Linked DNA regions of Rhinolophus ferrumequinum. The protein of the gene in region 2 purifies or fractionates together with the protein of the main gene of each other region. This does not show direct contact. Links are inferred from orthologs where the notes say so. Each region holds a gene or a part of one and is shown on either strand. Other genes may lie near its edges. The genes, in order: NEK2, CDC26, ANAPC7 and ANAPC13.

What was found.
Region 1: the proteins of CDC26 (region 2) and NEK2 purify together in Homo sapiens (affinity purification with mass spectrometry; 3 studies listed by BioGRID and IntAct, with this or other methods). This does not show direct contact. The link is inferred for Rhinolophus ferrumequinum from reciprocal best matches to the Homo sapiens genes CDC26 and NEK2.
Region 3: the proteins of CDC26 (region 2) and ANAPC7 purify together in Homo sapiens (affinity purification with mass spectrometry; 5 studies listed by BioGRID and IntAct, with this or other methods). This does not show direct contact. The link is inferred for Rhinolophus ferrumequinum from reciprocal best matches to the Homo sapiens genes CDC26 and ANAPC7.
Region 4: the proteins of CDC26 (region 2) and ANAPC13 purify together in Homo sapiens (affinity purification with mass spectrometry; 4 studies listed by BioGRID and IntAct, counting the BioPlex papers as one, with this or other methods). This does not show direct contact. The link is inferred for Rhinolophus ferrumequinum from reciprocal best matches to the Homo sapiens genes CDC26 and ANAPC13.

The regions. Positions count from the first base shown.
Region 1 is NC_046305.1:20,398,140-20,405,010, reverse strand, and holds the start of NEK2 (serine/threonine-protein kinase Nek2), read right to left. Parts: upstream 3,007-6,871; 5' UTR 2,816-3,006; coding exon 2,720-2,815; intron 1,876-2,719; coding exon 1,658-1,875; intron 1,112-1,657; coding exon 871-1,111; intron 1-870. UniProt on the Homo sapiens protein: Protein kinase which is involved in the control of centrosome separation and bipolar spindle formation in mitotic cells and chromatin condensation in meiotic cells.
Region 2 is NC_046295.1:65,171,767-65,178,859, forward strand, and holds the start of CDC26 (anaphase-promoting complex subunit CDC26), read right to left. Parts: upstream 3,024-7,093; 5' UTR 2,843-3,023; intron 1,193-2,842; exon of another isoform or gene 1,165-1,192; 5' UTR 1,136-1,164; coding exon 1,083-1,135; intron 629-1,082; coding exon 478-628; intron 1-477. Other genes in the region: PRPF4 (U4/U6 small nuclear ribonucleoprotein Prp4), read left to right, coding at 3,177-3,203, 3,945-4,125, 5,848-6,034. UniProt on the Homo sapiens protein: Component of the anaphase promoting complex/cyclosome (APC/C), a cell cycle-regulated E3 ubiquitin ligase that controls progression through mitosis and the G1 phase of the cell cycle.
Region 3 is NC_046308.1:6,116,799-6,124,098, reverse strand, and holds the start of ANAPC7 (anaphase-promoting complex subunit 7), read left to right. Parts: upstream 1-4,284; 5' UTR 4,285-4,285; coding exon 4,286-4,503; intron 4,504-7,300. UniProt on the Homo sapiens protein: Component of the anaphase promoting complex/cyclosome (APC/C), a cell cycle-regulated E3 ubiquitin ligase that controls progression through mitosis and the G1 phase of the cell cycle.
Region 4 is NC_046300.1:34,593,083-34,600,005, reverse strand, and holds the start of ANAPC13 (anaphase-promoting complex subunit 13), read left to right. Parts: upstream 1-3,923; 5' UTR 3,924-3,938; coding exon of another isoform or gene 3,939-3,973; 5' UTR 3,974-4,061; exon of another isoform or gene 4,062-4,102; intron 4,103-4,131; exon of another isoform or gene 4,132-4,253; intron 4,254-4,266; exon of another isoform or gene 4,267-4,675; intron 4,676-4,707; exon of another isoform or gene 4,708-5,737; intron 5,738-5,902; exon of another isoform or gene 5,903-6,002; intron 6,003-6,544; 5' UTR 6,545-6,571; coding exon 6,572-6,670; intron 6,671-6,923. Other genes in the region: CEP63 (centrosomal protein of 63 kDa), read right to left, coding at 3,824-3,870. UniProt on the Homo sapiens protein: Component of the anaphase promoting complex/cyclosome (APC/C), a cell cycle-regulated E3 ubiquitin ligase that controls progression through mitosis and the G1 phase of the cell cycle.

The DNA.
Region 1 (6,871 bases), on a different chromosome or scaffold from region 2:
AAAATGCAGAGTCCAAAGCCAACAGGCACTACCTAGAGAGCCACAAACGGTTAATACCCTTTGACCCAACGATTTCATTTTGAGAGCTACACACAAAGGAAATAACAAAAACAAAAAAAAAAAGGAAGAATAATTCATACGGTGATGAATTTTGGAAACAAAATATCCAGCAATAGAGGAAATACAAAAGCAGGTGGACTCTTCAACTCCCTTGCAGGAAAAGGCAACAAAAAAAAGAACAAATACAAAAAGTTAACACTGTAAAAACATGTTATCTGAAGTTAGTGAGCCTCTTGATCCCTGAATCTCCATGAACAAGAATCATCTAGAAAGTCTGTTAAAATACAGAGTCCAAATTCACGGGCTTGGGGATTGAGGTCAAGGACCCTGCATTTTGAACAAATGCTCCAAATGAGTCCAATCTCCATGAACAAGAATCATCTAGAAAGTCTGTTAAAATACAGAGTCCAAATTCACGGGCTTGGGGATTGAGGTCAAGGACCCTGCATTTTGAACAAATGCTCCAAATGAGTCCAAGCTCCAAGCCGGGGTACAGGACCTATGGCATTTTGAGAAACACGACTCTTCAGGACAGAGACAAAATCTACTTCATCTTTGTAATCCCAGAACTTAGCACATGGTAGTCATTCAATAAATCATGACTTGAATTGCCGATACAGAGGCGTTTAATGGTCAGGTGGTCAATTTGGAAAAATGTAAATTTAAAATGAAACAGTATTATTAATTCTTGGCTATTGGATATTACTAAACACACGAATAATAATAATAAAAAAAACCACCTCACTTTTCCTGCATTTTAATGCTTATCATTAAGAGGTGTAAAAAGTATCTAAATTCTGAAATACTTACAGGAGACATGTAGTAAGGTGTGCCCACAAATGTCTTTGCAAAACTCGTATCATGGTTTAATATTCTAGCTAGCCCAAAGTCTCCAAGCTTAACATTTTGCTTGCCATCCAGGAAAACGTTGGCTGGTTTCAGATCCCGATGTAGCACTGTATGACCACCATCGCTTCGTCTATGACATTCCTTTAGGGCCAGAGTCAACTGAGTCATCACTCGAAGAACAAACTCTTCCTCCAAGTATTGTCTGAAACCAAAGAAGATATACAGTGTTTAACTTCTGAATAAAGCCATTACAAAGATGGGATCACGAGAATTATCTAGTTTTCGAAGTGTACAAATAGGGAAATAAATATCACACTCTGGTATGAAATACGGGTGTTGATGCACCAGAGATTTCCTAAAGTACTGCGGACCCACTACCATGTTTTCCCAAAAATAAGACCTAGCCAGACAATCAGCTCTAATGCATCTTTTGGAGCAAAAATTAATATAAGACCCAATCTTATTTTACTATAAGACCAGGTATAATATAATATAACATAATATAATAAATACCGGGTCTTATGTAAGACCAGGTCTAATATAATATAATACCGGGTCTTATATTAATTTTTGCTCCAAAAGACGCATTAGAGCTGATTGTCTAACGAGGTCTTATTTTGGGGGAAACAGGATAAATATAAGGACACTTTTCCACGTTACTAAGTACTTCCTCCCTAATCCTAAAACAGGATGCTTAACAGAAATGAAACCAGGCCCATTTTCAGCTTACTTTCAAAGATTAACTTACCTTTCCTTGGTTCCCTTTGTAATTACACTAGCCAGGTCCCCTCCTTCACAATATTCCATTACGATGTACAGTGTTGTGTTGGTTCGGTCAATAATACGATCATAGTAACGGACAATGTTTGGATGTTTCAGTTCACGAAGCAAATTCACTTCAGAAACAAGCATTTGTTTCTCAGCTTCTGTCATGGAGCCATAGTCAAGTTCTTTCCAAACCAATATCTGAAATAAGAATTTCCCAAGGGAAGAGTGAACTCCTTATACTCAAAAACAAAGAATGAAAGTTCCAAAATTTAAAATTTGCAAACATTATTTCTCTGGTAAATAGATCATGGTTATTAACATCTACTTTAGTTTGATAAACTTAAGGACACCCGATTTTATTTCCATAATCTTTCTCTAACTTTTAAGCAGTAAATAATGCAATGGGAGAGGGCGGAGGTGAGGCGCATTAGGCCTCCCCCAACTTCCTACCCTCACTTGCTTTGAGGGAGTTCAGAAAAAGGTACTCTGGTCAAAGGTGAGTCAGAGGCAGTCCAAATCCCGGCCAGTTCCAACCAGCCAAGCTTTTCCAGGGTGAGAAAGCTGAGTAAAGATCCCTCGGTCAGCAGCCAGGCAGTTTCCTCTCCATCGTTTTTTTCCTATGTAAGGTCAATGTACACACATGGGAAATATGGACCCAATACGCTAATAACGGATGTTTTAAAAGAGCTCTGATTGTCAAGACAGAAAGCTCCAGGTTCTGGTACCCCTTTCTCCTGTCCCAGAGTTCTACTCTTCTCTAAAAAATAGCTCAGGAGACCGCTACCTGTCACCAATGAAAAAAAAGCCTTTAGCAGGAAAAAGGAAGGAAATGGAAGAGAAAGGGGAAAAGAAGGAAAGACGCGGTCTCCCATCCCTTGAGCAACCCAGGACAGACACAGGTTTGGGGGAGATGGCTTACTCTTCCGGGCACCCAGCCTTGGAGACCCACAATCCCAGGCCTCTCGCTTCGGGGACAGAGGGCGCTCACCACAGGCTGGCGAAACCCCAGCAGGGGCGGAGACAGGGAAGGGCCCGCGCTCACCTTGCTGTCACTCTTCCTCCGGATCTTCTGGCAGCGACCGTAGGAGCCTGTGCCAATGGTGTGCAGCACCTCGTAGTCTTCCACCCGGGTCGGCATGGCCGGGCCCACCGCAGGACTCCAACAGATCGCGCCGCAGCCGCGGAGCTACGGCCACCGACTCGAAAGCACCCCCAAGATACACTGCCGACGGCCTCAGTCCCAAGCCCCGTTTAACCGTCGCGGGCCCTGGACTCGCAGTCTATTGGCCCACAGTGAGGAGGCTTCGCCTCTCTGATTGGCTAAGAAGAACACAACACCCTAAGCATCTTGGGAAGGCGTATCCCTAGGCAACCGCCTCGGCGTCTGTGTCGGCGTCCGCTTTCTACTCCTAGGAGGAAAGGGGCGGAGGTCGGTCAAAGGGAGGGCGGGAAAGAGAAAGCGGCAGCAAGGCAGTTTCTGCAACGCTGTCGCTCTGGCTGAAGTCGCCAAAATAACCGAAATCCAGAGACTTCTCAGACTTCTTTGCATACTGCCTCAACCAAATGCTTTCTGACTTTTGCACTCTGACCCCTCCAGTTCCTGTACTCTGCACGCGCCTTCTTCTTTCAGGTTCCTGTACCCTGAGCCTGATCGGGGTCACGCTGAAGACTTAGTGAGAGCTGAGTACGGTGATTAAACCTACAGTCCCTTGCTGAAGTGCTAACTATGACGTGGGACTGTGCCAACCCATTTATTTACATGTATAGTCTCGTTTATTCCTCAACACAAACTTGTAAAGCAGGAATTAGTATAATGAGGAGCACAGAAAGGTTAAATTATTTGCTTTAGGTCCAACAGCCAGGAAGAGAAGAATCAATGCAAAAACCTTGCATACTGGTATAGTAACGATTTAAAAGTTACGCATGACTTTGTGAAGGGCGCGGTCATCATACACAGACTATAGTTTGAACACCGAATTTAGAGGCTTGTTCAACATGCAGTGGATGTGTACAAACCCTCGGGAAAGAATATGGAAGTCCTCGATGTTGGGAATCTCCAGCAGAATATGATGGCTCTAAGGCAGACAGGTTTACCCTTAAGACTCCTAAAAAACAAAAACAAAAAAACAGACTACCAAATAGATTACCTGGGGTGCTGAATACATAATTAATTGACAATACTTCATTGAATGTAGCCTTTTCTGGGCACCCACAGAAACCAACATTTTCATCTGACCCAGCCAGGTGGAACAGTCCTATTTTTACCTGGGAGAACAGATAGAGAGGCCTCCATCCATTTCATGTGCATTACCGGAAAGTTAATAATTTGGTCATGCATAAATAGGTCAATTTTCTTTAAATATCTGTTCAGCATGGGATTGAAAGGAACTTGATTTTCTATTAATAAGAATTGCAAACCTCTTTATGTTAAAAATAAGAACTGAATATAACATAATGCACTGAATATAACATAATTGGAATTCCAGCCAGGAGAATTTTTAACGTGACATTCAAGGGCACTGTCTTATCCCAAGGGAATGGGACCAATTTAGGTTTCAAAAGTTATGTAAGGAGCTACGGTGGCTGTGTTAATTGGCATTATATTTTTTATTTTAGTACCTCTTAAAAATTGACATCCATGGAACTCTTTGGCTGGCCTGCCCCAAATCCTTCACCTTCTCTCTGGCCACTCTTTTGCTCTTATGCTTTGCCCCGATTCTCCAAACTTGACACACTTTCTCAGCCCACACCACCACCACCACTACCTTTGCACCTGATATTCCATTTGTCTGGAATACTTAGTCCACCTGACTCCCTTATCCACTCCCCCATCCTGTATCATGATCGTGTATGCCTAGAGGACGTAACTTGTCTTTCAAGATTCAATGCCAACTTTCTCTCTTGTGCTCTGGGAAGCCTCTTCTAGCACACTAGAACAAGCAATTCCTCCATCTATAGTGTTCACTATAGATAGTACAAAAATCAACCCTCAACTTGTTATTTTTCATTATATATTTCCATGGGTCTCACAGTAGCTCAACTCCAAGCTCCTCATAGCTAGCATAAGCCCTGTAATAAAGGTGTCATGCAATAAATCTTTGTTAAATGAAAATGTGAGAAAGCAGCTTATTAATCATTCAAGGATTTGGATGAAGCCCTCTAGTACTCATGTTTCAAACGTCCTCAGTGCTATGGCAGAGACTAAATATTGGGGAAAGGGTCATCCCAGGAATATGGAGAGTGGCTCCTAGGCTCATATGTTCATTCAACAAATATTTACTGAGCACTTACTATCGCCCAGTTTAATAAACACCCAGCATATAATTGATATGCTGGGTGTTCATTAAAAAAGAGACAGTGGGGCCATGATGACCATGATAAAGAAAAGAGTGACATAGGCATGGCATGACAAACACTAATGACTGGCCAGAGATAGCACATATCATTGGGTGGGAGTGAGGGGCAGGACAGCACAGCAGAAACCACTGGGCACCGTGGAGTGGAAAGAGACACTGGTGGCCGAGGAACACGAGGAGTCAATAGGGAACACTTTTACAGGAAACACCCCTTCCTGGGTCATTTACTCCCTCCATCCTTCATATTCCGCCCATTCTTTAAAGACAGCTCATGCCCAGCTTCTTCCCTGAAATTTTTTCTGACTGCCTTCAACCCACCGTGAGCTCCTACGAGAGCAATTATCTGTTCCTTACTCATTTAGAATGTGCCATACACTAATCTACATTACCAACTTCTCTTGTATATCTGACTGATTAAATAAAAAACTCAACCTTCAACAAATATAAGTTCCTCTTAAGTAACTAATGTATATGATTTTGTTGTTTGTTTTGTTCGCTGCAGCATATCTAGCACCTAAAACATGCCTGGAATGTAGTAGGCACTCAATTAGCATTTGTACCTTGAATGAATGAACAAATGAATGCACGAATGAATAAATGAAGCCATGCCTTATTCACTGCCCTCAGCGTCCCTTCTTATGTTATATTAAAGTCCCACTAGAGGGCTGTAAATAACTTCATAACAAACAAGAGGTTGGGACTGCCTCACCAGTTCACCCACAGAGGCCTGGCCTCATAAGAAACTTTGAGATTTTCATATTGAGCATTTCAAATCCCAGAGAAGACATTTTTTGTGTCTTGGAGCAATTTGAAGTCAGGGATTATGGAAATTCTTTAAAGAGCTTGATAAAGATTTCTAGAAAGGAAAAAAAGGAGAGATTCTTTGTTTATAGCAATCAGATGCTAAAAGATGTTTTAAAAAGGTGCATGACAGAGTACATGCTCAATAAATAACCATGTTCTAGAGGAGAGTATGAGATGTTATGGAGACTGGCCATAATAGCGACACAGCATTTCATATCAATAGAAGGACAAGACATCTGCAAACTAAGAGACAGCTTTGGATTTAGTGGCAGGCAGCTGATGGGAGAATATGATGAGAAGAAATTTATCTGTGAAACCAAATAGTGTTTAATTTTGAGCTTCATCATATTTTAAAGAGGGATAGTGCCAAACTAGCACCCAAGGGTACAAGTTAGGGGAAGGCTGACTTCTGCTCAATGCAAGGATACGCTTTCAGACAAAGAGAACCGTTCACACATTTTGCATGGTTTTTCATAATATTTGTGAATTCAGGACATTTTGCATAATATTTATGAATTCAGGACATTTGTTATCTCTAAGACTATTGATATTATAAATGGGTTAAGAAGACTGTTAACAGTAATTATGGGCGGTAAGTCTGTAGTATGTTTCTAAGGGACTAAAGGAGCTTTCAGAGAACAGTCCCAATTTCCCCTTTAGGAGCAGCACAGTGAAGTTGTAGGAGCGGTGGGTGTGAGGAGTAGGAACCCAGGTTCGTCTAGCTCTGTTCTGATGAGCTAGGTGACCTAGGGAATCCACTCGACCTCTCTGGGCCCTAGAAAATAAGAGTGTGGGAATAAATATGCCCCAAGAGGGGCAGAGTGAGAAAGGAGTTGGGAGGGGGTCCTGGAGGTTATACTGGGCAGGAGGGGGAAGAAAGGTCAGCAAACAGCATGGAAAGTGACCGATGAGGTAGGAGGCAATATGGAAATTATTGATAACCCAGAGTCTATAGAGGAGATGGTTTTAAGCACATGGCAGTGGCCACAGTGCCAGATGTTGCAGATGGAGCAAATAAGGTACGGGTAGAAATG
Region 2 (7,093 bases):
GCAGATGTGATTAAGGATCTTGAGATCCTGAATTATCTGAGTGGACCCTAAATGCCCTCAGATGTGTCCTGATAAGAGGGCAGAGAGAGATTTCACAGACACAAGAGAAGAAGGCAGTGTGATCATGGAGGCAGAGGTTTGAGATCCGGGGGCCAACAGAAGCTGGAAGAGTCAAGGAACAGATTCTCCTCTAGAGCCTCTGGAGGGGGCGTGGTCCTGCTGACACCTTGATTTTGGTCCAGTGATACTGATTTCAGATTTCTGGCCTACAGAACTGAAAGAATAAGTTTCTGTTGTCTTAAACCACCAAGTTTGTGGTAATTTGTTACAGCAGCCACAGGAAACTAATACATTAAATTGGAAATGCCTGTAAAGAATCTAAATAGAGATTTCAAGTAATCTGTTGGTATAAGAATCTGGAGTTCAAAAGAGTTATTGTTTTAAATATTCCTAAGTATTTGAAAGTTGTACTCCTACCTCTAGGTCCTTTCGAATGTTTTCAAACTCCTCAATATCATCAAGCTTCAGCTCCAGGCGGGTTGGTTTTCGTCGCAGCATGCTGAAATCAACACTAAGAGCCAGACCCAGTGAACTATTAGCTGTTAAAAATGGCAGAGAGGAGGAAAACCTGAAGGGGATAAATCTCAGCTACAAATATCAGATCAATTTGTAAGCACGCATGCTAAAATGAATGGCAAATAAAAGACTCATTTAGATTCACACATAGACTTCTAAGTCTTTACGTGTCTGAATATTATATTTTTATTACATGATGGAGATCCAAAACTCTGTAATTCCAAAAAACTGTTTCTTCAAGAATTTTAAGTATTTAAATAGCAAGCTGCCTATAAAAGAATTCTAGGCAACAATCACTTTAATCTCATGCTCCAGTCACATTCAAAGACATATTCTAGCTAAGAGAATAACACTAAAATATCACATCTTAATGTAGTACTATTAGTGGGAGAGCATACAAACCATTAAATTTGATCAACTCTACACGAGAATTGTAAGAGATTTGTGATCACTCCTGAATGCTAAAATCAGTTTACTAAATCTAGGGAAAACTCCCTCTAACTCACCAATTCACAGGGTTATCTTCAGGGTCAAAATAGGTCCTACATGTATGGGGCATTCATTAAACAAACACTTCTTGTGCTCCAGCTGCAGAGTTAAAACGCACAGTCACAGTCTGTGGGGAAAACAAACACGTAAACAGAAACCTGCATACAGTGTACTAAGAACTCTGGTGCAGGAAATGCAATGGCATCACACAGGCCCAATTCATTCTGGGCTGAGTGTGGGGGCAGACATGGAGGATTTCCTGGAGGAGATGATGTCTTGGTCGGCTTGGGAAGGGCAGGTAGGGAAAGGGGATTAAGGGCATACCAGGCAGAGAGAACAAAGATAAAAAGGGGCTCAAGAGTCCACACCAGTCTGAAAACGCAAGGTCATGCTTACGCTAACAAAAAACGTTTTTTGGAGGAAAAAAATATAACTCCCGCACTGAGTTTAAAATCTGTTGATGACATCTTTATATTCTCCACCAAATCCAGTAGAGTGTATCTATAATAACTAGGCAGTAAACGTTTTGTTGAATAAACCAGAGATCCAAATAAAGTGAAGTGAACTTTCCTTGAGCACTGTGGTATGCTTTTCCATTCCCATTCTTTACACTTTTATTTTAACACAGAAACCCTGTGAGGCTGGCAAAATTACCCGTTTTACAGGTGAAGCCAAAGCTGCTCGGTTTGGTTAATAAATGAAAATGATGTAAGTGAAAGCTCCTTTATTTATAGATATCAATTATTATTACATGTATCTAGGATGTAGCTAGGGGCTGAAATATAAAAAGAAAATGTTTCCCTCTCCCTCCCATGAAGCTTGGGATACCTACAGGTGGTATTATCAACCCAAAACACTAGCACATTACATTTCAAATCGCTTTATACTAAATCAGATACTATTTTGATTCCAATGTAGATAAATGATACTGGAAGCCAAAGTTCAGGGGAGGCGGAGATGTTTAAAAGAAAAACACTACTTTGCACTGTCTTATCTTTTCAGCAAACTGAAAAGCTTGTCACAAGGTAGCGATATAGGGTAAAGGTACTTGCTCTGGAGGCAAAGGGCAGAGGTTCTAATAATAATCTGTTTATTTTAAACAATTAGCTTCATCTTTCACAAGATCTTAGTTTCCGTATCTGTTATTGAAGTAAGTTCCTGGAATGTAATTTGGCATTCAGTAAATGCTCAATAAATAACAGCCATTATTATTATTTTAACTGTTCTTGTGGAGAGGCAGGAAACACCTCTGTCCAGCTCTGGGAATCACCAGTATTTTGAGCATCTCCACCCCCCGACATGAGGGCAAAAACCTCGTCTCGTTCGTTTCTGATGCTCCAGCACCCAGCGGACCACAGGGCCGTGGCAAAGTTGTTTGCGTGCATAACGGCTCACATCCATCATCTTACTCTAAATCTGATACGAAGACCAGGCTGAAGACAACAAAATCAGGCCGTGGCTCCTCCGCCCGGTCCTTATTTAACTTTGGCGCTAGAGGGCTCTTCGAGCTTAATCTCTAGCTGCTGCCCAAATTCACCCAGCTCAGAGGGGGCCCCCGGGAGAGAACCTCCCTACAGCGGAGAAGGAAAACAGCTCTCCCGCCGCAGCTCCAAGGTAGCGCTCACAGGTCTACCGCAAAGGTTTCCATAGCAACATAGTCCCAGCTCCAGGACGACGTAAAGCCTCTCGTAGGGCCGGGAGGGAGGGACAGCAGGCCCCGGAAGCCCTCCATTCGCTCCCGAGTTCAGCCCGGAGCCGCGCGACTCGATGCACCTACCTCTTTACAAGCCTGTTCAGCCCCTTCGCGGAACCTCAGTGCCCACCACGAATCTATGCCAACTGGACTACACTTCCCAGACTGCTCTGAGCCTCTCTCCCCGCAAGACCTCGACCTTCGCGTGCGTTTCTCGGAGGCTATACGAGTCACACCTCTCGACACGGCCACAGTCTTTCCTACTACGATTCCCAACATGCTCCACGCCTCCCCGGACGTTGAGTCCACTCGGCCCACTTCCGGTGGGTGACACAGTTCCGCTTTGCTGGGCGCGCGTTGGATTGTCTGAAACGTCGATTGCAGCTTTCGCTGGGACTTCGCGGCTCCGGAGCCCAGCATGTCTTCCTCACGAGCTACCTCCACGGTACAGATCTGAGCTCACCCTAGCGGGGAGCGCGGCGCGGGTGGGGGTCCCTGCGGAATGGGATGGATAAGGCGATGAGGGGCCGAGGAGGAAGGCTGCGAGACTCGGTCTTAGAGAGCCGAGCAGCGTTTTCCTGATGGAGCGCTTTCATGTGCTTAAGCTCAATTGCACGTCTCGTACTGACGCGAATGGTACACACCTCTTCCTACTGGTCCAGAAACGGAGCTCAAGGAAGTAGTGTCCTGGCCAAGATTTATGTCTGTGTCAGACCTCTTAACTGAAGTGAGGCCTCCAAACTACCTACCGGTGTCTAGTGCATCTCGTCTGAAAACGTTTGAAATGTAGAGGCCAGTAACTTGGTAACCTGCTCCCCTTCACACCGCGTTGGTTTTTTCAGTTATCCTTGATAGTTCCCTTGTGATGAGCAGTAACCCTGGAAGTTTCATAAAACCCAACAAGAAATTGCACTTCCAACCGATTGAATTGAATTAAATTCCAAAGCAAACCTTTGACAGAAAAATCACCAAGAGAAATTCAGGAATTTTATCAACCTCTTTCTGTCTGAGACACCGAACACCCCTACACCAATCCCCATCAGTGAAGACACATCTTAACTGGTGCCCTCCTTGTCCTTTCCTTTGGGGAGGAAATAGAATTAAAGTCAAGATGAGCTTCATCCTTTGGGGAAACCTAGCAAATTGCCAAGATTGAGCCTTAGGTTAATCCAGGTTTATGATTTAGCAGGCAGCCAAAACTAAGGCACCTGATGACCTAGTCGCGCCTCTGGTGAAAAAACCGCACATCTATTATGGAAGTTTGGAAGAGAAGGAGAGGGAACGTCTGGCCAAAGGAGAGTCTGGGATTTTGGGAAAAGAAGGACTTAAAGCAGGAATTGAAGCAGGAAATATCAACATAACCTCTGGTAAGATGCAAATTGTGAATCCATCTTTATCTTTGGTGCTCAGATTTTCTGCAATGAATATCTTCCTGGACAAATATCACTATTAATAACGTGTCAAAATTTTCAGTTTTTAAACTTACATCTGTATATGGCCATACTTTGCCTACTCTGCTTAGCATCGTCCAGAGAGCCTTTTGCTTAACACCTTTTAAAGAGTTTTTCCTTCCATGAATTGTTAGTGATTTTGCCAAGAGTTTATTCAGTGTGTATAGCTGACCCTTGAACAACACAGGTTTGAACTGTGCCAGGTCCACTTATATGCAGTGTTTTTTTTTTTCAATAAATACTGTAAATGTATTTTCTCTTGTGATTTTCTTAATAACATTTTCCTTCTCTAGACTATTACGAGAATACAGTACAAGTACATATAACATACAAAATATGTGTTAATCGACTGTTTATGTTATCGGTAAGGCTTCCAGTCAACAGTAGGCTATTAGTAGTTAAGATTTGTGGGAAGTCAAAAGTTCTATGCGGATTTTCAACTGCACGAGGGGTTCCCCCCACTATCCAACCCCACCTGGCTACGTTCAGTAGTCAACTATATTTGGACTCAAATTGATTCCATTTATCTTCTGGAGATCTAGCACAGCTCTGGCACTGGTTTGGAACTACTGTGGTTCATAATATTCTGTTTTTAGTTTCCCAATTATTTTTCTCCCAAAATGAAACATATTTTTTAAATTAAAAAAATATTAGTTATTTTTATTTTGAAAACTAATCAGTGTAGAAATGTGTGAAGTAGTAAAACCTTTCATCCTTATTACTTGGGTCTGTATCTTTCCAAGAATTTAATAAAGCTATAAAAATACATAATTGTTTTCCATAAAGGAAGCCATGATAGACAGATTGTTTTGTAACCTACATTTTTCATTCTGTACTATTAATGATATCTTTCCAAGTCAGTAACTATCATCCACTATATTTTTAAAATAAAATTATACATGTTTGTAATAAGAAATTCGAACAGTACAGAAGGGTATAAAATGAAAAGACTTCTCCGCAGAAAGGGCTTCTGTCAAATTTCTCATTGATCCTTCGACACTTTTTTTTTTCTATACACAAGCACTTTAATGGCTTTTTTTAACCTTTTATGCTTTTTTAAGCATAACTGCATCACCACTATACTTACCATTTTTCATACAAATGCTTGTATTTCGTGTGAGTTTTTTAACTGGCTGCTAGAGAATCCAAAAAGTCTTCTAGTCAATCAAGGAATATCATTTACATGGTAATTATTTGCAGCTTACTAGATTCATTTCTAAGTGTCCCCATAAGGGAACTGTTTTAGAGAATAGCTTTGTCAATTGTTAAAATTATGTTTCTGTTTCATCTTTTGCATAGAAAGCCTAGTTAACTCATTTGCTAATGATGCCCCATACTCCTTATTTTCTTATCTCATCTAAGCTGTGTGTTTGTTTATATAGGTATATATAGGTTTAAGATTGCCAGATGAAACAAGATGGCTTGAACCATTTTGCTGCCTTTTAAAGCTGTGTCATTTAGTTTTTTGTGTGTGGCGTAAGTTAATAAACTGAGAAACTAAGTGTATAATAGATTAGACAGTTAACTTTCACTAAGGGCATACGCAGACTCCAATTGTAAGAAATTATTTCTTTTTTTTAATTTTTTTATTTGAAGAAGATCTGGTGATTATGCTGATGTTGCCTGTTCTCTTTATAGGAGAAGTGTTTGAAATTGAAGAGCACATCAGTGAGCGACAGGCGGAAGTGTTAGCTGAGTTTGAGAGAAGGAAGCGAGCCCGGCAAATCAATGTTTCCACGGACGACTCAGAGGTCAAGGCTTGCCTTAGAGCCTTGGGAGAGCCCATCACACTTTTTGGAGAGGGTCCTGCTGAAAGAAGAGAAAGGTACCCTTTCTAAACATCTACTCTCTTCTTTTTTTTGATCACAGGGTTCTAGTTCCAAATTTATGTTGTTATTTGTAGCAAAAACTTTTAATAGAATGTCTCAGCTATTGTTAACAGAATATCTTTTAAGTTGTGTTTATATCAATCTGAGTCTTAGGCCAATTTTTACTCCACTACTAATTTTCCTTTATAAACTGCAAAGAGGGTGTTAACATGTTTCCTCTCCCCTTCCCAAAGTGTAATTTTGTAGTTGAACTTTGAAGATTTAGACAACAAATGCATTCCTTGTCAATGACATAAAACATAATGACAAGTGGTTTTTGGATATTACTGAAAAGGGGCATTGTCCTCAGATAATGCTCCGCTTGTGCTTTTAACGTTGCAAAGCTCTTGGTGACAGGCTAGTCATATGCAGTGATGAGGCCCTCTTCCTGTCTTTCTAGCCACTGTCCTACTCTCCCCATTATCATTTTTGTTTTCTTGGTTTGCATAGTCTGCGTGTTTAATCGCTTCAAAACCTTTAGCATTCTCTCATGTCCATTAAATAGAACCAACAATGCTTGGCCTGTTTAAATTACAGGGAATAAAAGTACCACTTCTCTTGTACTCCATACTTCAGCCACACTGAACTATTTGTGATTCCAAGCTCAACACACTTTTCTTACCTCCAGACCTTTACATCGTATTTTGAACCCTCTGCCTTAACAGTCCTCTCCCATTCTTGGCCTGTTGCCCCGACCAGATGATTACTCAGGTTAGGTAACACCTCTATGAAGCCTTCCCTGAACCTCCCTCCAAACCTAGGCTAGGTACTCCTTTTATGTTCCCCCTTAGTACCCTATACTTAACCACTGTCATAATACTTAGTATAATGTATTATGGTTCTCTGTTACTTTCTGTCCCCATTCCCCACCCCCCAACCCTGCTCTCTAGAACTCTGCTACTTGAAATCAAAAACTGTTTTCTTAGTCATTGTTGTATGTTAAGCACCTGAGTCAGTATCCAGCACATGTGGCATTGAGTGAAGGTTGGCTGTCTCCACAGACCGAGGGATAGCAA
Region 3 (7,300 bases), on a different chromosome or scaffold from region 2:
TGTCCACCTGATACCACCCATTTCCTCCTTCCCTGCAAAACAGGGCTTTTCAACCTTGACATCTTGATGTTTTGGACTTGATATTTAAATTTACAATTTTAAATTTCTACTTCACTTTATTGTGCAGGTCTGCCCTGTGCATTACAGGATGTTTATCAACATCCCTTGTTTCTACTCCTAGATGCCAGTAGCAAAGCAAGCCCCACCCCCAGTCTCCAGACATTGCCAAATGTCTCCTGGGGGCAAAATCACCCCCAATTGAGAACCACTGCTCTGCAGCAAAACTCCTCAAAAGAATGATCTATCTGTACTGTTGCACACTAGTCTCCCCCATCCTCTCTTCACTGCCCCACCAAAAATGCTCTTGTCAAGGTCACCAATGACTGTCATGGTGCTAATCCAATGGCCATTTCTCATTTTGTTTGACCTGTTGCCATATATATATATAGATACACACACACATATGTGTGTATATATGTATATATACACACATATATACACACATATATACACATGTGTGTGTGTGTGTATATATATATATATATATATATATATATGTAATTGATTATTCCTACCTTCTTGGAACCATATTCTTCATTTGTCTTCCAGAACCCCACTGTCTTACTTTTCTTCCCACCTCACTGGCTGTTCCTTCTCAGCCTCTTTTGCTGGTTTCTCCTCTCTGACCTCTTAATAGTGAGATGCCTTAGGGCTAACTGTGTCCTCACCTAGAGAGCCAATTATTACATCCCAAGGTATTTTGTCTGACAGTTGTTTTGTTACAGTTGGCAGCTTGCAGTTGTCCATGGTAAGAGTATTTACACCATGAAAATTGGCAAACACTACAAATCATGGCTTCCCCCTCACCAGCTGTTACACATTTACCTGTTTATCAACTGCCCCAGTCTTCAAACTCTCTTAACTACACTCACCCTCTTGGTGATCTTATCCAGTCTCATGGGTTTAAACACCATCTCACTCTTCAAGAATTAAATTACAAGGGTAAAAAGGAAAGGGAGGAAGAACCTACATTTTTAAGAGACATAATCAGCCAATTGCAAGAATGGACCTTGTTTGGATCCAGATTCAAAGAAACCAACAGTAAAATATACACAAACAATTACTAGACATGACTAGATATTTGATGATATAAAGAATTATTGTTGTTAGATGTGATCATGGTACTGTCATTTTGTTTAACAAGGAGTCTCTCTTTTAGAGAATACTGAAATATTCATGAATAAAATTATATAATGGTTGGAATTTGCTTCAAAATAATTTGAAGGGTAAGGAGGAAGGTGGGGGGTGCTCTGTGAAACAGGATTGGTCATGAATAGATAATTGTTGAAGTTGGGTGATGGTTTATGGGGACTCAATATACCAATACCTCTATTTTTTAATATATTTGAAATTGTTCTTATAAAGTTTTTTTTAATGGCATCTGAATGCTGAAAACTCCCAAATTCATACCTTCCTTCTAGACGTCTCTGAATTCCAGACTCAAATACCCAGCTAGTCTTCCCAGCATCTTCCTTAGATTCAGATAAGTATCCAAATCTTGGAGCATTATACTCCAAGATGCTTCTCCCCCAGTCTTCCCCACTTCAGGAATGCAAAGAAGCATCCCACCTACTCTTGTGAGATGGGTTTACACAGAGATGAGAAAATTTAACAATCACAGATTTAAATACGGTGGATAGATGTACAAGGCATGAGGTCATTAGTTATCAAATGAATTGTCCAAACTGTAATTCCCATTCAGAGAATCGAGGGATTAGAGGAGAGAGCAATCACTTTTTAGAAAGTATGGCAATTTCAACTAAAAATGTCTCGAGTCTATGAATGTTGGTTTATTCCAGGACTGGAGGATATGTGACTTTGCAGTAGGATGTCAATCCAGATATGAACCTAACTATATTTTACACTGCCGTGTAGAGAGGGTAAATTGGTGACTGTCATGTGGTTTATAGGTGTGTTTATTTTTAATTGTTTCATTGAGGTATAATTTACATAAAATAAAAATCACCCATTTTAAGTGTATTATTCAATTATTTCTTAGTAAATTTAGAGAGTTGTGCAGCAATCATCACAATCCAGTTTTAGAAAATTTCCATCAAATCCCAAAAGGAGGGATCTTTTGGGAACCGCAATCACTTCCCAATTCCTACCTTCACCACCAAGCAACCACAAATCTTTCTGTTGCTGTCGGTCTGTCTTTTCTGGATATTTAATATAAATGGAGTCAGAGATTATATGATTCTTTTTCTGTCTGGTTTCTTTGACCTAGCATGATTTTATTTTTAGCACAGCACAATATTTTTGAAATTCATCCATGTTATCAGCAGTTCTTTTTATTTTTGTGCCGAATAGGTTACACTGTACAGATATACCACATTTGGTTTATATAGTTATCAGTTGGTCAACATTTGAATTGTTTCCAATTTTTGGCTATTATTAAATGTGATTTTAACTATAAAATATTTCAAATGGAGAGAAACGTATAACAAGCATTTATAGTGTTCACTGTGTGCCAGACATTGTTCTAAGTGTGTTAGATACAGTGGTGTATCTGGCATGTTTGACACACAGAACAGGTCAGTTTTTACACACACACCCCTCTTTTTTCTTCACTTTTTTTTTTAGCAGTTCTAGATTCAGAGCAAAACTGAGTGGAAAGTAGAGAGTTCCCAAATACCCAATTGCCCCTGCTGTGTCACAAATGCACAGCCTCCCTCACTGTCAACATCCACCACCAGTGTGGTACATTTGTTACAGCTGATGAACTTACACTGAAATATCATTACCAGCCAAAGTCCATAGTTTATGTTAGGTTTCCATGTTGTATATTCTATGAGTTTTGACAAACATAATGACATGTATCCACCATTATAGTATATAGTTTCACTTTCATAAAAATCCCCTGTGCTCCACTGATTCCTCCCTCCCCTCTAACCTCTGGCAACCACTGATCTTTTTACTGTCTCCAGTTTCATCTTTTCCAGAATGTCATACAGTTGGAATCATGCAGTATGTAGCCTTTTCAGACTGGCTTCGTTCACTTAGTAACGTGCATTTAAGTGTCTTCTGTCTTTTCATGGAACACCAAGACTGTGTTTCAACAATTGACAAATCTGTTTATAGTGCTAATTGAACATGAATATACAAAGACAATGACTTTTGACAGTCACTGACAATTTTGCAGAATTTAAGGACCAAAAACAGAAACTGTATTTTATTCATTTTCTTGCTAATCCAATAGGTAGGATAAGTCTTTCTCAATACATTAATGTATTTAAAAAGTATTAATCCATTACCTTTTTGTACTGTAATAGTGGTTTTACTTTGCATTAAAAATTGTACTAGCATTATTATTTAGATGAAGTTTAATAAATATTTTCACGGTCTGTTTCTTTTCTGGCCATTATTAGTCATTTCATTTCATGATCATTACTGAAAGCATTTTTTTTTTTTTCTAAATGAGGGGGTGGCCCAGAGAATGAGAAGGCAACCTACAGGCTGGGAGAAAATATTTGCAAAACACATATCTGATAAAGGACTATTATTAAACATACAAAGAACCCATAAAACTCAACAATAAGAATACAAACAACCTGACTGAAAAATCAGAAAAAGATCTGAACAGATTCCTCACCAAAGAAGATATACAGAAGGCAAATAAGCATGAGAAGATACTCGACACCATGTCACTGGGGAATTACAAATTAAAAAACACATGTTAGGATGGCTAAAACTCAACCTAGCCAGTATTCATTCTGAGCTAGTAAATCATTTCACAGGGTAGAAATATTCCCTTTTAGACCCAAGACTGCTATCCAAAGGCTGAACGAATCCTGACTCCAGCAGGTACAATACCTGACAAGAGGGGGCGTGGCGCCTTCAGCCTAGTGCGCAAGCGTGACTGTAAAAGCAGTTAGGACTGCCCCTGGCGCCTGATTAAAATATTCAAATACAACTATTGGGGCTTTCCCCCTACATACAACCTACTGTGTTCTTTTATTTATGATTAATGTTCATACATTTTTATTAATTCCTGGGAGAGACAAATTCCTCTCATACTCATTTCCTTTGAGCATGTATTCATACTGAGGTGCCTTTTGTCTCCATCGTATTTTTAAGTCCTCAATAAAATTTGCAACTCAGAACGACATAGCTTTGCTAGAAAAAAAAAAAACCCAACAAATTAGTTCACCTCACGAGGGCTTGGGGAACTGAGTTTTATTTATTTACTCAGGCACTTCAGTAGTTGCCTATTTTTCTGGGGGCGATGCCTCATATGGACCCGATGGACCCCGGCGAGGCCGCCATTTTGAAGTCTTCCTTAAAGATATTTTACCGGCTTTTCGTGCCGCTACTGCCGCTCCCTGCGGCTTTGCCCGGCAGGATGAATGTGATAGACCACGTACGAGACATGGCGGCCGCGGGGCTGCACTCCAACGTGCGGCTCCTCAGCAGCTTGTTACTTACAATGAGTAATAACAACCCGTGAGTTGAGGCGGGGAGCGGCCTGGGGCTGAGGAGAAAGCAGCGCCTGTTCGGGAGCGAGGGCTGAGGGGGCCTGGGGACTGGCGGGAAGGAGCGGCCGCGGGCCCCAGCCCAGCTGAGGCTCCGGGGTCAGCGAGGCCTCGTCGAGCCGAGCTGAGTTAGGAACGCAAGTTGAGTTCATGGGGTCCCCGCGTTGTGCCAGGCGCTGGGATGAACTCGCTGCGGGAGATGTGTCGTGCGGCGACGGCTCGGAGAAATGGAAGGCGGAGGCTCTGAGGACCTCCCTGGCGAGGGTTTCCCGAAAGTTGGGAGCGTAGGGTTTCCTGAGGTACCTGTCACCCAGCACGGCGACTGTCACATCACTGGGCTGACTTCTCCCTTCCCAGCTCCTTCCTGAGGAACGTTTTCTCCCTCGACGAAGCTCAGAGGCCAGTCCCCTGGTTTTATACCTTCGTCCTACATCCGAGACTGATTTTTATCCGCCTTGAGTGTAGTTCCTTTTCTCGCCTCAGCAAACCCCAGAAAACGGGAGATTCCCTTGATTGGGTGGGAGTGGCGCCTTTTGAAGGACTTGCAGTGCGCCTTTCATGTTTTAAGAGCTGCCGTTTATTGAGTCTAATGACGGAAGAAATACAGGGCCCTTGCCAGCCTTGAGTGCATGTCGCTCCCCTGCTTCAATTTCTCCATTGTGCTTCAGGTTCTTTCCCATGGCCAAGGGAGCCACACATCTTTCTCCCCCACTTAATCTCATGTCCGCTGCTCACTGTTCTCCAGCCTCCGTGGCTCTTCTTGCGGATACTTGAACACGTGCCAAGCTCATTCTCAACTCAGGGCTTTTGCATTTGCTGTTCTGCTTAGAGTCCTTATCACAGACCTGCCTCCTCCTACAGGTTCCAACTCCGATAGCCCGTAAGAATGGCTCCTTACCCTCACTAGTCTATCCCTTTGCCTTGTTTTATATGCTGCATCACTTTTTTTTAATCGAAATATCATTGACATGTAACATTACGTTCGTTTCAGGTGTACAACAGAATGGTTCCATATTTGTATATATTGCCAAATGACCACCACAGTAAGTCTAGTTAACATCCCTCACTACACATAGTTACAAGTTTTTGTCTTGTGATGAGAGCTTTTAAGATCTATATTCTGCACCACTCTTAACACCGAATGAAGTCAGCACACTGGCTGTGTGCAGTAAGCCCTCACGCTTATTGAATGTGCTAAGGAAGTGCATACAACCTCAGGGAGGGGAAATACCCTGTCCAAGTCCACACATTTAGTCATTGGAGGAGCCACGATGTCTGGATTTTGGTCCCTTTGACTCTAAGGTCTCCATTCTGACCTACGACAGTCTCTTGCCTCTAAATAGCATTATAATCGAATCTTCTACCCATTTGCATTTGGCATCCTCTTGAAGCTGTCTAGGTCAGAAAAGAAAGGCCCCTTAAGTGCCTGTGATGCCGCTGCTGCTCCCGATTTTATTTCCATTAGTGTGCTTTTGGACCTCACTACGTGCGACTCATCATTTTGCCACCATCCACTTAGTGTTGACAGGGAGGAGCCCTGGTCTCTGTCAGCCTTCTGTGTTTATTCTGGAGACTTTCGCTTGGTTCTGAGTGATTTGTCAAGGCACACAGTTTCCACCATTGGGAATGTATGCACCAGTTATTCTTGGTTCTTGAAGATGTTACAGGATAGTTAGATGTTACAGGATAGTTAGATGTCACAGGATAGTTTGATCTTCTGATTTGTTCATATTAGGTTAACTGGCAGTTTCCTAGCTTCAGGAGGCATTTAAATTCTGACCTTTATATTTAAAATTTTCTTACTGAATTGGCAATACAACACAGTAAAAAAATTCAAACAGAGCAGAAGGGGTATGCAGATACGTACCTGTCCCTGAATCTTGAACCTCACTGTGACATTTCCCTTCTCCAGAAATTCCCTTCTCCAGCAAAGAGCTATTAACAGTTTCTTACATCATTCCAGAGATAATTTTTGCTGTACACATAGACGTGTGTTACAATATAAATATCTGAGTGCTTTCTCTGAGTATAGTAACTTTTTCTATCAAATCTTATTTTTCATTAAATACAAAGAATCTCAGAATTGGAAGAGATCTTAACTATCTGGACTATACCTTTCAACTTTTCAGTCCTTGAATTTCCTTTGTAACTTTATGCAGTGTTTAGAGTTCCTATCTTTTTTTAAGATTTTTTTTTTATTAAGATAAAATTCACATACTGTGGAATTCACCCTTTTAAAGAATACATTTCTGTGGTTTTAAATGTATTCACAAGAGTTGTGCACCTATCACCATTGTCTATTACAAAATGTTTTCATTACTCGAAGAAAGTAACACCTTATATATTTGTAGTCACTTCCTGATCCCACTTCCCCTGTTCCTGGCAACCTCTAATCTACGCTACCATTCTTGAGTATCCTTCATTTGTTGAGAAATTAACTGTCTGTTCTTTCATATTAAGCAGCTGTAGCTTTTACCTATCAAAGAAAAACATGTAAACTCAACTTGGGAAGAAGTAGGTGGAGGGTTGGGATTGGAGATTAGAAATGTGAGTTTCCTATTAAAAATGGTAGCCAGCTTCTAGGCAGTTATTAACACTTGTGAGCAACATTTAAGGTTAAAGACAAACTTTTGAAACACTGGTTCCATTATACTATCCTGAAGCCCCTGAGACTCAAAGAGATAAAAATTCTCCTAGTGCCGGTAAAGTTTACTTTTGTATATAAAATTTAAAAAACTTTTGTCAAATAAGGCTAATCATTTTATCTC
Region 4 (6,923 bases), on a different chromosome or scaffold from region 2:
TTGGATACAAATATAAAATCAAAGGTTGAAAATGGCGACTGGACTTGTTGCTGAGCTGCACCTTCCACAACTAGATTAAAGGACGACTTGGAGCAGATGGGCCCTGGAGAAATACACTGTTCCCCAATAATCCCAAAAAAAATTTAAAAAAAAAATCCAAATGAAAAAAAGAAAAGCAGTAAATAAATAAAGTGAAAATAAAATGAAATAAATCAAGTATCAACTAGACGTTAAGCCATATTTAGGCCAGGAGCAGAAACCTCATATTAAAAGCCATCTTGTCATGATTCTGTCTTGCTTTATCTCCTAGGCGCCTGGGCAGGCCTGGGCTGTCCCGATGCAACCTGGGGCCAGGGTGTGAGCTGGAGGACTTCGTCATGCCCTGAAACCCTTTGTCAACAAAAACCCCCTGAAGCATTGAAGGGGGAACAGCCTCGCTCACCCCCTCCTATAAAACTCCATACCCCTCTTTGCTCGGGGAGGTTATGGTCTTTTCTAGACGGACCTCCCTCAGCTCAAACACGCCAAATCAATTCTAATAGGACCAATCTTGGTCTCCTGCACTCATTCCTCCGGCTGTGCCTAACACTAGACATCAAGTTGGCAGCCTAACCATAGAGCAAATTGTTTCATAGGCCTTTAAAATGCAATAATTTTACTGTATATATCCTAAAGGGGGTACATACTAAGGATAAAAAAGAACAAAGAAATCCTAAACACTATTCAGGAATCATATTGTTATTAATAAAACTGATATTGTTAATTTCAAAGTTATATATAACATAGGATAAGAAAAAAGTAATTATGTTAATGACATTAGGAATCAATGTTTTCAGCAAGAGAAAAAGATATAAATATAAAATCATATATGCAAAAAAAACCCTATAAAATCAAAATTAAATTGGAAATAGTGTAAATTCTGTACATTTCTCTCTTAGAAAATGTATTTCCTAACTCTGATCACTGTAAATCCTACAACTAATGCCCAACCTAGCAGTAAGAGCACAGTTCTCAGGCTGTGGTCTCTAAATACCATCTCCAACTCAAAGGAACCAGGGTTGTTGGCCAGAAATGTATAAATGAGGCAGGAACATGTTTAATCAGCAAATGAAGACATTATCAAAGACTACTTGTCATATCAAAGTGGACAGGAGTCAACTTAAAGGGGCTGCTGCCACTGGCCAAAGACAGGACAATTCGAGAATCAAAAAAAAAAAAAAAAAACTGCAATAGGTGGAAACAGTTTCAATATTTTCAAGCTTATAAGTTCATGATGATTTTTTTAAAAAGGCAAAAACCGTTTTGGTTTTTAAAAAAGGCAAAAACCTCACGGTTACCTTTGGAGGTTGTTAGGCCACCAACTCATTACCGCAGTCTGAAAATAGAGGGAAAGAATTAAGCATTTTTCTTGCCCTCCAGTATTTCAAATAGCTGATGACAGTCAAGTAGCTGGTGGGAGGAAGCTCTTCCTGAAAGATTTCCAGCTAATAAATACTAAAGGAATGACGAAATTAGAAAATCACCATATTGCAACCCCTAAAGGAACAATAGATATAGGCAATCTAAATCCATGAAAAGATTTCACCATTAAGTGCAATGCTCAAGGGGAAATTCATGATGGATGGATCAGTACACTGCTCAATCTTCATATCACAAAAAGAGGAACAATTCATACATTGTGTGCCTCTCTGATAATCAATGCAACAGGAAGTGTACTGCACCATCTGGGAAATATTCTTGCCCACCTCCACCAAAAAAAAAAAAATCAACATTGAATCTGATCAAGCTTCTAGATCAGTGCTGTTCAACAGAATTTTCTGCAGTTATGGAAATGTTTTATATCTACACCGAACGGTAGCTACGAGGTACCTGTGACTATTTGGCATTTGAAACACGGCCAATGCGACTAAAGAACTGAATTTTTTGTTTTCTTTCATTTTAATTCATTTCAATAGCCACAGCTGGCTGGTGGCTGCTATAATGGATAGTGCAATTCTAGATCTAACTACTGGTTTAAAGGAAATAGATACACATGGGGAAGAATACCATAGGGATAAAATCAGCTAAATGTAGAATGCTGAGGGGGGAAAGGCAGGCAAGGGAACTACTATATCTCAAAAGATTTAAAAGGTGCATTAACCAAATGCAATACATGAATCTGAACAGGATTTTTATCCAAGAAGCTAATTGTAAAAAGACATTAAGGGACAGCGGGGAAGTCTGAACCCAGGCTGAATACTGACATTATGGAATATTTATTAATTTTCATAGGTGGATGGCAGTACTGTGGTTTTGTAGAGGTGAAAAAAAACAAACTTACCTCGTAGAGAAAAAACAACCCTAACTAAACATAAAAATCAAAAATTCAGTTTCTGAAACCTATGTAAATGTTGGCTTCAACTTTCAAACCAAGCTGACATTTTTTTAAAAAATAGGAAGCTCTGATAGTGGACTGCTGATGCAGTCAACATGTGCCACCTCTACTACATAAATGAGAACAGGAAGGACCAAGCAAAGGTCTTCTACCTTTTAATGGGAGGTAAATGGTGTATCGATACAATTAACATACATAATTATTACAAATAATTTTTAAAAGCTAACTCTACATACATTTTAAAGGACAGTGTAACTCTCTGAATGTTTATAAATCTCTTAACACATTTAACTTTCAGTCGTACTATATTGATCATTGATAATGATATCGTGAAAGGACAAGCAGCTCAGGACAAAAGTCAATTTAAAGATGATACCGCATTCCAAGTAAGAAAATAATACACTTCATTTTATCATTAAGTTACAACTATGATGACTCTAAATGGAAACACCTGAAAGTAATGTGTTGTTGATCCTTGTATGATTTCCTCCTATCTATAAAATAAAAAGCAAGCATGTGGAGAACTGTGTAACTACAGGATACCTACCCCACAATACTGCTTTATTAAAAGAATAATTTTTTTAAGACTTAAGGTTTAAGGAATCAAATGTAAGGCTCAAGAAAGACTACTCTGTGCAAATAAACGTACTGTAACTATAAATGAAGACTAGTCACTGACAGCACACTCATCTTCACTCTCCGACGTTGTAAGGGGACATAAGAAAAACCATATTATGAGCCTATCTATACTGTCTTCAAATATCTTCATGGTTAGTGTTCGTAAGGAACTGTCACTTTTTAAACCATGGCTCTACCACTTGTTTCCGATCCCTGATTTCTATGGAGCAATCTGTAAGGCAGAGGTGCCCCAACTTCAATCCTTCACGATTTCTGCCACATTTCCATTTCTCCTGTGTCAACGTTGTTTTTAAGCCAACTCACTGTTTAAACTGCTAAACTTCCCACCATAAATGAACGGGCATCACCCGCCGTGGATGGCTTAAGTCACAACAAAGCTACGGTAGCAAGTTAACCAGAAACGACAGGCTGAGCGGGAGGGCTGAGCCGGAGGTCCCTCCCCCGAAGAGAAAACTGGCCACCCGCCGCCCTCCCGCTGGCCCGGCCGCAGGGAAGGGCTGACCACCTGGCTGGCCCGACGGCACGCCCGGGAAGGCCATATCCGCCTTCGCGGGCCCGCAGGGTGTGGGCGACGAGGCCGAAGGGCGGGGCGCCGGAGCTGGCCTGGGCCGGCGGGGGCGGGCCTGGCGGCTGGCGGGCTGCTGCGGAAGCCAGCCCCGAGCCTTTGGGCCGCGCGGCGGACAGCACCACAGCCGCCGCGGCCAAGCCTGCCCCAGGAATAGTACAGGCCCGCCCCTCGCCCGTCCTCCGTGCGCACATGAGGTTAGGGCGCTCCCGCGCGCGCGCGCCCCCGAGCTTTCCCGCCGTTACCTCCGGCGGGGGCGCGCGCGCGTCACCGTCAACCTGACGTCCAGCATCTGTCGTCGACACGTTCGTTCCGCCCCCTGCTCCCTCCCTTTTAATGGCAACAAACGTCCTGCCTCACCTCCCCTCCGCCCAAGCAAATGGGCTCACCCACATCCGGGGATCGGAGCAAAAAGAAGTGCGGGTCACGTGGTGCCGAGGGTGGGCTCCGGTGGCCGCGGGTGCTGCGCTGGGTCGGGTGCTGGTAAGGGTTTCCCGCGCCCCTAGCCTAGGTTCTGCAGGGCGAGAACGCGTTCGTTCCTCAGCGTCGCACTGCCTGCGACCGAGGCCGATGTCTTCATTTCAGCCCCATCACTGCCCTTACCGCTCACTGGATCGAGTGGAAAGAAACTTGGGTGGCGGGCCTGGACCTAGACCTCCCCCGCTTCCACACTTGGTATATCCAGCCTCGAGCCGGAAGTCGGGGCTGTGAGGCGGGCTCACACTCCTGTACGGATGGTGGTGGCCTGCGAGGGTCATTTTTAGCCAAAGGGGGGGGGAAGCCGTCTGCGTTGATCATGTAGTTGTGTATTTACAAAATTCTGAAGCACAGAGGAATAAAACGTGCCCCTGCCCCAAGGAACGCACGCGCCGCCTGTCTGGAAAGCAAGAAACAGCCAGTGTGACAAGCTCCCAGTCGGGATCATTCGCTATTCCCAGGGAACTAGGGGACCTGAATAGCCTCCTATAGGAGGAGGTGACCCGGGAACCAAGTTTTTCAGACCGACAGGGATTATCTGGGACATAAAGGGGAAAGAGCATTCCAGGCATTGGGGCCATCACACGTGTAAGAAAAGTTTGTTCACGAAACTGATAGTGGTGAATGCTGTCGAGTGTAGCAAATGCTTGTGACAGTGGCCGTGTCCTGGACTTTGCCTCTCTTGATGCTTTCCACTCTTCCAGCCCCTTACGAGTGAAGACACCACTCGGGAAATGGGGAGTTGACCCTGATGATGTGACGCCCACGTTGAGTTTGGAAGGAAAAGTACACGGGGGAAAGAGGCTTTTTTTTAAGTGCAAAGGGTGGCAAGTATGATAGGGCTAGAGATGTTTGGAAGAGGAACAGGTGAAAACAGATTGAGGCCAAATTGGGGGAAAATGGATTAAGGAGTCATTGATGGAAAATGGACACCTAACAATTGGAGACATAGCTGAGCAGTCTGTCACAAGGCTGACCCAACTAGTGGGTCATAAGGACAAGAAGGAAGCATTCGAGGGCAGAATGCCTGCTGAAGCTGGAGTGATTTGAGAAAACTACAGAAAAGGTGGAACTTGTGTGGGCCTGGGGAAATCAGCAGGTTTTGATCAGAGGAAAGGAAGGAGGGCATCCCAGAGGTCAGAGCATCCAGGACAAAGGAGTGGCGGCAGAGAAAAAGGAGGGCTTGTGTATGACAGGGTCTCCAAAAATATAACTGGAACTGAAAGGACCCCTGGTGTGTACATTTCCTGAAGACAGGATTCTTCAGCTTGTTGTGAGTTATCCACTTAGTAGTACTGGATTAATTCTCGTAATACTAAGAATTAGTAGTGAAACGTTAAGACGTCATCTGGTTCACTGGTGGCATAGAAGCTGGGCATGTTTCAGTTTTGCCTGGATTCTTATCATGGGGGGAAAAGCCTATCATTATTACCCAAGTAGTAGAGCTATCTTGAAGTCATTTTGTTGGGGAAAAGCACAGGCCTATACGAAAGAGTTGGGTTTCACCCCCAAAGACTATTTTCTGGTATAAGTCTTCACAGTCTCAGAAGTGGGCGTGACTCAAGTGCCTTTGGTGCCACTGAATTCCAGACCATTAGGATGGCTGCTTTGTAGCAGGGAGCACAGGAGAGTGATATCTGTGATGAAGAAGCAGAGTCCACACTTGGAAACAGAGTCTAGAGGTATTTTCCAAGCTGGCTATTGGTGTTCAAGAAAAAAAGTGGGGAGTCGGCCGAGAGCTAAGTAAGCATCTTGACCACTTGGGCCAGGCATGAAAGGGGGCACAGCGTTAAGAATCAGAGGAAGGAATCCCAAAGGGAAGAAGAAACCAGCAGCATGGGGTCTTCCCACTGTGGTTCACCTGGAGGTGCTCCTTTCAGGGCTCAGCCTGGGCACCATCTCAAGAAAGGCCATTTCCTTCACAAGTTCAGCTGAGGATTTCTGCAGGTCTGTGGCTGTTCACTTTGTATAACCCAGTTCAGTGGGGATCTCACTATGATCCTGTGCTTCATTTAGCTCCCGTGCCAAAGAATGCCAAGGTTAGAGCTAAGGCGGGTGGAGACTTTTGTGAAAATGGTGCAGGAAAGGGTAGAGGGGCCAGAAAGGAGACTTGATTATGAATGAGTCAAGGATTCATCAAAGGCATCCTGAACAGGACAAGGTGAATGTGCAAGTTAGGAGAGAAAAGCTGCATTCTAGACGTGTTGTGGCCTCGTAAAGGAGGCCCTCAAATATATTCTCTTTTTGTCATACTATGACTGGTTTGTCCACTGGGCTATGTCTGATGTCTGTCCATCGTCAGCTGGGGTAGGAGGGGAGGAACTGTGATCTTATAAATAAGTCGTCATCTGACCCAGATGAGAAGATGGATCTTCCCCAGGGTGATATTATGCCAAAAGACACATCCAAGCTAAAAAGCCTGGGGAATCCTAGGGCTGATTACATCATCTCCTCAGTCTTGTTTAAGAAATTACCTTTTTGGCTTACAGATTTGACAAGATTAAAGCTTCAGGAGAATGGACAGTGAGGTACAGAGAGACGGAAGGATCCTGGATTTGATTGACGATGCTTGGCGAGAAGATAAGCTGCCTTACGAGGATGTTGCGATACCACTGGTAGGCTATAATTTGTGCTGAGGATAATGGGTAAAAGATACGATCTGGTGGGGCCTAGTAGAGATAGGATGTCAACGGACAGATAAACTAGTAGGGCAAAGAAATCAAAGCTGTAAAGTCCACTAATTCTAGAAGCATCTAGACTTTTTATTTGAAGATAAATATAGTTCAAAGAGCTGTTGTGACCAGCTCCGATAGGAGTCATGCCAAGTCTGGAACCCAGGCCTTCTGAGCCATTTTCTGTTGACTACAC